3 linked regions of the Saccharomyces cerevisiae S288C genome follow. The gene in region 3 interacts genetically with the main gene of each other region. Each region holds a gene or a part of one and is shown on either strand. Other genes may lie near its edges. The genes, in order: IZH3, DFG16 and SOV1.

The links.
Region 1: mutations in SOV1 (region 3) and IZH3 impair growth when combined (synthetic growth defect), as found in Saccharomyces cerevisiae (one study listed by BioGRID).
Region 2: mutations in SOV1 (region 3) and DFG16 impair growth when combined (synthetic growth defect), as found in Saccharomyces cerevisiae (one study listed by BioGRID).

What each region holds. Positions count from the first base shown.
Region 1 is NC_001144.5:185,015-188,775, forward strand, and holds IZH3 (Izh3p), read right to left. Parts: upstream 2,116-3,761; coding exon 484-2,115; downstream 1-483. Other genes in the region: putative ubiquitin-protein ligase UBR2, read right to left, coding at 2,649-3,761. UniProt on the Saccharomyces cerevisiae protein: ADIPOR-like receptor involved in zinc metabolism either by altering membrane sterol content or by directly altering cellular zinc levels.
Region 2 is NC_001147.6:384,809-388,569, forward strand, and holds the start of DFG16 (Dfg16p), read left to right. Parts: upstream 1-2,016; coding exon 2,017-3,761. Other genes in the region: YOR029W (uncharacterized protein), read left to right, coding at 1-127. UniProt on the Saccharomyces cerevisiae protein: Involved in invasion during filamentous growth.
Region 3 is NC_001145.3:399,739-403,499, reverse strand, and holds the start of SOV1 (Sov1p), read right to left. Parts: upstream 1,960-3,761; coding exon 1-1,959. Other genes in the region: KAR5 (Kar5p), read right to left, coding at 2,284-3,761.

The sequences.
Region 1 (3,761 bases), on a different chromosome or scaffold from region 3:
AGAAAAATTTTTTCATGAACATTATTATATATACAAGGCACTGAGCAGAACAATACACGCTAAGTTTTGTTCTTTCATGAGGTCATAATAAGTTAAATAACAGTCAATACATAAATGCAAAACTAAAAGTACACAGTTTTATTATTTTCTTTTCGTCGTAATGTAGTTTTTATAATCAGTCAACTTTTTTTTTGCTTTTAGATTTCGTTTGTTCCTTTTGTCTTTGGATCCAAAGTTTCTTGAAAATGTAGCCAAAACAATGCCAGCAGGAATATCGAAAAAGATGGGTATAATATAAGTAAAAAAAAAATTTTAACAATGAAATAATACAGGAGAATTCGTGGTTTACAATTTCTGGTTTTTTTCGAAATTGCTATGTGGCTTCTCCAACAATGTAATTGTAGGCTTTTCTTTCTTTTAAGTCCGTTTATCGTATACAGAAAAAGTGCAGGATGTTGTAAGTAAAGGTAGTCAGTCATACCATCATGACAAAATCCACCTCTTGGCAAACATATCTAAAATAGCTCTATAATGGCCGATGACACCCAACACTACGAAGAAATGCCAAAAAGTGTGCGAACAACCAAAATAGTCAACCCACCATAGAGATTTAAATGATTTGGCATGAGACGGACAGGAACTGCATTTGGAATGGGCTGTTGGCACCTCTCTAAAATGAATTTCCCTTTGCTTTGTGATGATTTCTAAATCAGTAGATAATTCGTAGTTTGTTGGAATGGTCTTATCAACCTGAACGTCAGATCTGAACCGTTCAGGAATGAACGAACCGTAAAATACCACACCAACCAAATACCAAACAACAGATTTGTATGTGACGGGGCTAAATAGCGTTGCAGCATAATGAAGATCAGTCAAAAATATCAAATGTAAAAACGACAATACACCCATAGTAGCCAGCAAAATGAAGAATCTAATTCTTAATGGCCTTGCTTCAGGTCTATCAAAGCGAGGCGACCAATTCATAAACACACCAAATACACCCAGCGCCAGAGAAATACTCATGTAAGTGTACATCGCCCAGTAACATGAATACATGGTAACAAACTCCGTTGTCAATATCGAAGCTGTAATTAAGATCGTAATACCGCTATAGTCGACACACGCAAATTTAGAACGTAGCTTCAAGAAGGACGTTCCGTTGAAAGTATGCCAAAACACGGAGCTTAGCATACATTTCAACGCAGCTGCCAAAAACATGAAAACAATCCATCTAGCCTGTGGTGGAACCTGGGAATTCCGCCAAACTTCAGACTGAGGGAAATCGTAAATTGCCAAGTAGATTATATAAATGGCTCCTAACAAATGAGACCAAATATTTGAAGTTTCATTATGCCAGCCGTACCAGTTAAAGATAGACAACAAAGATTTGGAATGGGTATTGTAAAACCTATAGCCATGGATTATGTATCTGTTTTCCCTCCATGGGAATGGCAACTGATAATAATGTAAATGTTGAGTTTCACCTAGACTATACGCTTTGCCATGGTTGTATGAGTTTATAAAAGACTTGATATCGGTAGTAGGATTCAAAGGTTCTTCAATGAGGATTTCCGTCTTTACCATGGATTTTCTCATTGGACCGCAATAGTCTTTCACGCTGGAAATATAATTGTTTTCCTCTTTGATTTTTGTATCATTGAGACGACTTGTTGGGGAACGTAACGAGGACTTCGCTTGAGAACATACAGTTGAAGATGAAGACACCAGTGAAGTGGATGTAGAAGCATTGTTAAGCTTGAAAGTAGCGACTGAATTCACCAAAGTGGCTGCATCTGAATCTCCCAGTGAAAACTGAGATTCTGTATTCAGAGACTTGCCACTGTTTCTTTTGTACACAGAACTTGTTACTTCCTTTTCTTTTGTTGGACGAATTATCTCCAAATCATCATACCGCCCACTTTCAGAGTGTTTAACACTTTCATCAATAGTTGAAAATGGATGAGGAACGAATTTTGAGTAGTTGTAATTATAGATGGATTTACCGGATTTTTTCACCTTCTGAAAATTGTCCACACCCTTCTGCTTTAGCCTTGATAGAGATCCCATGGGTGAGGGTATATACTGAGTTAAGCTTTTGCTTGACGAGTCCATCATGTACTTAATTTGATTGTCTGTTGGGATGTGAACTATTTTTCAGCTTATCTGCGTTGCAGCTTCTTCTTTGTCCACTTTACAATGGCTAAACTTTACCAGACGACAAAACAAGTGTAGAATTTGAATCAACTGTGTCCTAAAGAAAAAATAATGTCCAAAAACTCTTATTATAAAACGAGTAAACCACCACTTCGCTCGAATCGCCAAGCTTTCTAGATGTACACCCACGCTGTGTCACCTTATGACTATATACCTTATCCATCAACACTTTCTCCATTTCCTGCAGGGTAAAAAGAAAAGTGAAGTCACCCTGCACTATACGAGCTTCAGCCCATACCCCACACTAAAACATTTCTTTTTCTGCGGCATTTCTTTTTTTTTCGGTCCGTCCCTGTCCCTTCCCACGAGAAAGCGTAATGATCCTCGACCCTACCCCACTTCCCCACGCCAATTAAAACAGATAAAATTTCTTTTGATTTTTCGGATACGCTAATTTCGTAGCAATTTTGAATGACTAGACATTTGTTGGATAACTACATAGTCTCCCACCCACCAAGATCTGCACTGCCGTCCGTTAGTCGGAACACTATGTGCGGAATCATGTTGCCAAAAACAATCTCATTCGCTAGATTCGCGTATCTCGCCCGATTCAAATAGACGGGAGTACCGAATTTGTAGTCTTCGTTGGTCTCTCCGTATTTACTTAGATAAGGTGCAGCATAAAATGTACCTCTTTTGCCGTATGACAGATATATCGCATTTGTGCCGGTCATTAAGAAAACTCCGTAAGCGGAGGTGATTTCGCATCCATTTCTCATATGATCAGTACATTCCCCCTGTAAATAACCTTGCAGTGCTATGCTTTTTTGAATATGGCATTTTTGGCCACACAACAAGCATACTGCGATTTCGTATTTATCACATTTATTCGATATTTCATCATTATCAAGGGAAAATTTGGAAAGGTTCAATGGTAGTTCGATAAGCTGGATATGCTCTGGTGAAGGATATGCTCTTGTGTTTATGTTCTGCACCATGTCATATATTACTTGCTGAATTCTCAAATTATCATTACCATCATTATACCTTTCTATATTTTGTGTTAGTTCGTTGTAGAAAAAATCCTTCAAAAAGTGAGTTAAATTGGGTAATTTAAAATACCGGAAAATAAGCTCTATTTCACGCTGTTTGACGTCCATGAAATTATTGCTGCGGTTATTATTATTATCACCATCACCATCATCATCATACTGAATGTTGAATAATAAGAAGGTTCTTCTACAAAAAATGGACAATGACTCTAGTAATAGAGAGCATATAAAGTCTTTAATTTTCTCTAAACTTGTAAAATCAAACCGAACGTCGTCTGGTTTAAAGAGATCAACATACTTTTTAAAAGTATTGAATAGATATGAAAAGCTTGTCGATGGTTCCTCAGATCCGTTTGATGATATTTTGATTTTATTTCGACAGTCTTTGTAAAAGTTTACTCTCATCATATCTCTTGCAAGCAACAGTAGTAGTTGATGGAACCTTCTTTTGAACATTTCATAGATACATAGGTTAGGCGGTTGCGGGGTTTTTCCTCCATCAATATTATCAAAATTTTGACTCATATACAAAAGTAGATTCACATTATTACCCTT
Region 2 (3,761 bases), on a different chromosome or scaffold from region 3:
TTTTTTTTTTTCAGCGCCGTGGTATTTCCGCTCGGGAAATCCCCTCCCGCATTGCGTCAGAGCTTATCGATGTAAAGTTAATTTCCCTTTTTTTCGGTTGGGCTGGAGCACTTGGTTGCATTACTAACAAATTAACGAACAATAGTTTTAAAAGCAAGTGCCTTAAGATTTAGGTCATTCCTTCGAGGATTTCTGGGAACAATTTAAAGAATAACAGAAACTTTTGCGGCCCTTTTCATCATCTACGTGTTTTGTAAGAATGAGATCACATTCCACGTAGCCCTAAACATTGGCGTACATTTCCACTCGGAACCTTTTCTCGACCCCTCTCCGTACGCCAAGTTTTACCTTGAGGAGTAAGTCGTCAAAGGGGCGTGGGGCAGCCATTTCTTAGGAGGTGGGAAGACATGGCAGTGAGTGGGCCCTATGATTGCTGCTGCAGGGGACTTTTCAGGATAATCATGTAAACGATAAAACGGAAAAACAAAACTACGGACGTTGTTACCTTTCCATTTTGAAATGTTTCTCCGAAAAAATACCATTTTGCACAGTTCAACATTCTTGATGGCAAAAGCGAAGCATTGCGTCAACGGGTTAGATAAGTCATTTACTGTCAATTAGTACCAATACCTGTCTTTGCTCACCGAATGGCACTATACAGTGACGTTAAGATCTTGTAGTTGTTTTTCAAGAAGGCACTAAATAAGGTAATATATGGTGCCTTTCGCAATGACTCGTGTATCTGGCAGATCTATAGCTGCACACCTGATTTTTTTGCTATATTTGAATCAGGAGTAAGTTTGAACCATAATCATTCCAATTCAGTTTGATAGTACCTTTTTTTTAAAATTTTTGAAAGAGCTATCGCTTAGCTATCGGCGGGCATATTGAATTGCGCAGTAGATGAACATTTCACTAGTTGTGGCCAAAGAAGTTAGTTAAAAAGTGTAAATATGTCACAGTACTTATCCTTCTCTAAAGAATTAGTTTATTAAAAGCAGCAACAAGAAGAATGACTGTCAACCATTTTTAGGTCATTGCAACAAATCTCAAAATACGCTTTTATAGATAATCTAAGAAGATCGTTATATGGGAATACTAACAGTGAGAAAATGGAAGAAACGGGTTAGCGTAGAAAATTGTAATTAAAAAACAACAGTTTTAAGAAGGTGGTGGGCAATTAATACTTGAGGATTAATACTTAGAGCTTATTCAAAAAGAAAAGATAGAATTTCATGTAATACATGAGAACAATGTAAGGTTTTTAAGGTAACGAGTAACTAAGTTTTGAAATATCTTCACTAGCCTTGCAATCATCTTTTAGCTTTTCTATTTGCCGGATTCTTTACAACATAATCACGCTTTCTTCTAGTTGTAATTTTCCTTCTAGATGTCATTATTTCAACCGATGTCATTAATATCCTTTTATGGTGTTTACAAAAAGAAAGTTTCAAGTACCGCTCACCTACACTACGTTGTAATTCTTAGATACATAACTTTAGTTTTGTCGCCTATGTGCACAGATAAACAAAACAACCTATAAAATTTCCGTTGGGCCCTTTTGTCCCTGATTTCTGGTGTGTAACCCATTTATTTCTGTCCTGTAATAATTCGTCTTCGGTGATTGCCATATATACACAGTTTAGCTTTACTAACTATAAACATCCGAGAAGAAGAAAAAAGAAGGTCTGATTTCTATCAAACAACATGTGAAGATAACACAATCGATGTGATTGATATCAGATTTACTAGCCCCGTTGGATTGAAAAATCTGCAAGGAAGGGCTAAAGAGCAATATACTTTCTTTTGTTGTTTCGGGGTGATGAGAAAATTGTAACTTTTTTTTTTAACTTGGCGAGAAAATTGACTGGAAGAAGTGTCAAAGATAAGGCTTCTATCATATTCAAAACAAGTACCACCAAATGGCAGCTCAACTCCGAAGGCTCAAAAACAATACTTATTGATATTGCACTCACAAGCATTTTTTGTTGCGGAACGTCTTTACGTGCAAGATTAATGATCATAAGATTGCATTTTTACTACCTCCTCACTTTAGTTTACCATTTAGGACTTGTAGGTGCGTATGAAAAAGCAGCAAGAAAGAGAATTCAACCTCCCGATTTGATACCTGGTCCTCCGGGACATAAACTTGGTGATGAAAGACCACCGCATTACGACCACCGGCCACCTTATAAAAAACACATCGACAACATTCCAGCTTACAATCTGACTGATTTGATAGATGATAAACTACTAAATAAATATGAAAACTCATGCACGGTAAATGTATTGACAGGTGGCTTCATCTCTCTAGCAAGTAATTCGTGGCACTTACGTGCTTATAATTACACTTTAAATTACCCATCCTTTTTGATCCGATGCGATAATGGCAGTGCAAATCCTAATTTCTCTCATGTCTTACAAGACTTTGTTTATGACATCAACAACAAATTCAACGTTCAAGATGACAGTAGTAAATACATCGGAAAAGACCCATTTCCCTTAGGAATGATAATGATCACCTTTGCTTCTGGGTGTATCTGTGTGGCAACATGGATGCTATTTTTGGTTGTCTTATTACTGCCATCCGATAATCATAATAGAAGAAATAAAGTTGTACATGTTTACGTCCTTTTCTCTGCGATTATAAGAACTGTATTTCTAAACGAGACTATAGCCGTCATATTTGACAGCCAATATCACGATGACTACCAGGATGCGAGCCAATTTGAATCGTTCATCGTAGAAACTGCACCATATAAAATATGTGAATTAGTTGCAAATATTTTGAGTGATATAAACTGGATTTATATTGTTCACTACTTACAGTCCAATTATGGAAAACCAACTTGGAATTGGATCCCATTTAAAATGAAAAAGGGGACACATATCATAATTACCGTGGGTTGCTTCCTCTCACTAGCCGATAACATTTTATTCGCAAACCTTCTTTGGAGAAAGAACCTTGTAGTTTTGAAGGTATTTTACAAGCTAATCGAATTACTGATTTACACAATTTTCATCTCCATTATTTGTTACTTCACATGGCATAATTTTGCTTACATACTTTTACCGAAAACTGCTGAAATTAATACGGACGGTAAGTGTAAAACGAAATTGAGAATTCTTTGGGAAAATTATCACGAAACTATACCATTATTGGCGTATAATATTCTTATATTTATTTTATTCTATTTCACCACAATTTTTTTCGCTGCTTTCACCAAACATGTTAGAGGTTGGACATTTAACTTTGTTCATCTTTTGAAAGTTTTAATAACAGTGAACGTTTGGGGCTTAATTGGAGTATTGGAAAAGAGGGAGCTGCACATAAGCAAAAAAACAGTCCTTGGACGAAAAATTAACAATAGGGACAAATTTTTCGCCAATCCAACAGTCAATTATTACGGAGAAGATTTAGGCAAGCATTTAAGCGCCATAACGTTAAACAGGGATTTAAACACTACTAAAAGTAACACTACTTCCCACGATTCATCAAGTTTAGTAGGATCCCCTTCACCCACCTGGAAATCTCCAATCGAAAGAATAAGGGACAGAAGAAGAAGACATAAGATAATGAAAAGTGAGAATAAATTTGGGCAAAATCCCAGTTTTGGAAGTAAATCGAATGGCAAACCTAATACTAAAACGACATTATCCAAATATCGACAGCTATTAAGGAAGCCTAGGCGAAAAACCAATTCATATGAACCAAAAAATGGCATTGGACAGAATAAAGAAGGCTCAACTGTTAGACCAGG
Region 3 (3,761 bases):
TGAATTAAAGTCATACATGCTATCATAAAAATTGAGTATTTCTCTCAAAAAAACAGCATTTGGGATAACCTCTGACTCCTGCATTCTTTTTAAAAGTGACTTCACTTTCTGCTTAAATTCCTTTTTTCTAAATGAGGGCGTATTTTGTGCCTTCATATTTTGAATTTGAAGACTATAAAATTCAACAAATTTAGCGTAATGATATGCATTAACTTCCGAATAAAACTGATTATAGAGTAAATCTGGATCTGTTTTTGATTTCTTTGAGGCTTCTTCTAGTTTTTTTAAGATATTATATGCTTTTTCTTCTTCACCTGTACCGAGAAGTATGTTCAACAAGCCATTAAACTTTCTGGAACGTGACACACTGTTTAATTCCATCCACTGTCCAGAAGCCTGTTTAGTAATGAACTCTTCCAGAAAATCAGTTAATACAATACTTTTTGTTAAGGCCGAAACATTCTCAAACAGCAATTCATTGTATATTGGAGAATTAGTGTTATACTTAGTAATAACGCTCTCAAATGCCTCTTGCAACATTTTCACATTATTCTCAGGCACTACATAATCTTTATTTTGAGCAAAAATGTTTCGTAGCTTTTCAAAATCTTTCAACATATTTAGCTTGGTTTTAACAAGTAGAAATGCGGCATCTTCTTGTGTCGTTCCAGGTATTTCCATGTACTTGCTGATAAGTTGAGCCGCCATGGGAATATTTCTCTTATAAAGATGGAAATCAACAATGCTGATATAATCATGATCCGATGGTATTTCTAGTTCATTTAAGAACTCAGTTGCATGTTTCTCATTCTGAAAATTTTTAACTCCCGTGGGAAGTTCCTCCTGCTCATCTTTCATTCTGATTATTCCAACTTCTTCCACTAACTTAATAAATCGATCAGTCAGTATATTAGCTTCAGTAACATTGCCAATCGACAAATATTTTCGTATGCTCAATTTGGTAACTCTTGGGCTCAAATAAGAATACTTTGTTGAGTACTTTGCATCTGTCTCGGCTAAAAGTTTCCTGAAGTTTCTCAAGTGGTTAGACCTTAATGTGATCATTAATCCTAGTTCATTCCACCAGCGCTCGTTTACTTTGTCTTTATTGGTAATAAATAAACTGTATGCAGCCTTATAGTTTCCAAAAACTAGTAGGGATTCAATATAGAATGACTCATTTATAGGATCTAAACGAACTTTCCCTGTGCCATAAAGTAAATTTCCGACCAAGTAAATCCCTTTCTCCTTCATTTCTTGCACTGGTATCAATTTAACAACTTCAAAAGCTTGAGCAAGTTGGCTGAATGTGACCATTTCTGTTATTGACTCTTTCGGTTTGATTATGCCATTAAACCGTTCATTAAAACTTTTCAAAATCTCCAGTAAAAATGATGTACTCCTTAACGGTATATGGCCCTCTTGATCTTCAAATTGTTCTTGTGCTGATCGGAAAATATCGTTCATTATGGATTGCTCTAAGTCATCTTCATTTCCTTTCTCTTCATTGTATACCTGGGTTTGGCCGGTCGTGTTCAATCTTTTGATTTCTAAATCACACTCTTCGAGCAAATAATTGAAAACTGCATTAATTTTTACGGTGCTATTAGAGTCCTTGCTTTCTAAGGTTTTTTTTAATCTGTTTAAATTCTTGTTACTTCTTTTAAAGTTAGTTTCATTACAAAATTTCAGATATTGAATGAACGTTTCCTGGATAGTATCAAGAGGATTGATCTCCTGAAATTTCTTATTACTGAGAAGATTATTTTCGATTTCCTCTGATGTTTTTCCTTTCAAAATGAGACATTTTTCTGGTTCGTCTGGCCCTATGATGGTCTTATTAAGAACTTCAGGTATATGGGAGGCATAATTCAATGGCGCCCGCTTCAATCTATAAAAACGAATCTGAGACTTTGCTATCAAAGCGCTGCTACAGAGTGAGCGGTTGTATTTGAACATGAGTTATAAATATAGTATGGCCTTGTTTAATACGTTACTACTACCTAATGAATACTACCTGTGCCCATGATATAGAATCTCAAGATCTTTTTGCTTCGTCTTCAATGATAAAGCTGTAGGTGCTGCACTCGAACTCTCTTAAGCAAATTAACTTGGATAGTGACGTAGGACACCTTCTCTAGGTTCACTTGCCCGTATTATGGCCACCATGATCCGGTGTCCTTGAATTTTTAAAGAATATTTATTTTGCTAGACTTTGAATGCGGCTATATACCTATACATCTATGTATATATAGGCTTTCATATATTGTTACATCGGTAATGTTAAAAATCAATCAATGAGCCAGTCTTAGCTCCTAGATAAATTGAAAGTAGAAGAGCTGCCCATTGGTAATAGCGTTTAATAGGAATCATTTTGACGTTTACTCGAGACGTACGGTATTTTGACCAAATCCACACAACGGAGCACAGTAACCAGTAGTATTTATTCTTGACTGCAAGGTACCCACATCTTATAATCATTTTACTAGTTTTCCACATAAAATCCAATACCCTCATCATTGTCATGACATTTTTATGGACAAGTGAGACTCTGATTTCAATGTCGTCTAATTTTTTTTTTGTGCCATTCAGTTTCTCTGAAATATCATTAAAAGTTGAAAAAATCTCCTCATTCCATAAAGCAAAATCTCCATTTAGTGTAGATGTTATAGCTGTCCATTCTTGTAGTAAGGTATTTTTGAAGTTCGTCATCTCAGGTACTATCTCATCCGTCATGGATGGTAACAATGAATCATGAAGGATGGAATTGAACCCTTGCAAGAGCTCTATAGCTTCCATTTGTGATTCAGAAAGATCCTTTGACATGCCTCCTAACTGTTTTTTTAAACCCATCGAGAAGTTTTCCAACTCGGTATTAACTAACTTGTTATTTCTAGAGTAATATTCTTTTACGTCGTTGGACATTTCCACTAGGTCCTGTAAATTATTCAGGCTGTCGTCCTTCAAGTCATTTATCTTAGATTTTATGTCATTTTTAGCAAGCTCATCGGCTAGATCGCTCATAATATGATGGACGGTATCAACTTCATTCATTAGTTGACTGTTCTTCTCTATGATTTGGACCTCTAGTTGTTCGGAAGTTTCATAGAGTACATCATTCACTTTATTTCTAAAAAATGAGAGGTCGTTTTCTAAGATTATTCGATTGCTTTCGGTCGCATTTCGCAGTTCATTGTCATAGTTGCGGAACATCCTGGCCAGATCGTCCAAAAAATTTTGAGAATCTTGCTCCATTTGAAACATCAGATGATTTAACTTAGTATCGACATCATCCCCAAATGAATCATAAAGTTCAGTGATATTTAGAAAAAGTTTCAGTATCTGTTCTTTTTCAAAAGGAAGAAGATTTTCATAACAAATACTCGATAGTCGCTGATAATTTCCACTATAAGTTGTCCACCACTGTGAAGATGATTCTAGTTCAAACATACAATCCATCATTGATCCTAGGTCGTCAACCATGCAATTTTCTGGTATTTCGCCCAAGCCAGATGCCTGAAACTCGCATATTGAAAGTTTAATGGCCGTTTCTACCCTTGTTTCAGCGTCAATGGATTCAAGTCCATTTGCAATACATTGTGGCAAAAATAATTTTAGTGCGTCTTTAACACATGTTGATTTCAAGAATGGAAATTTGGATTCTAATACATTTGTCGCAACGGAATTATCTGTGTATATCAATCTTCCTTGCAGCAGATTGTTGATTTTTCCTAGTTCGGAGCTTGAAACAAACTTAATAC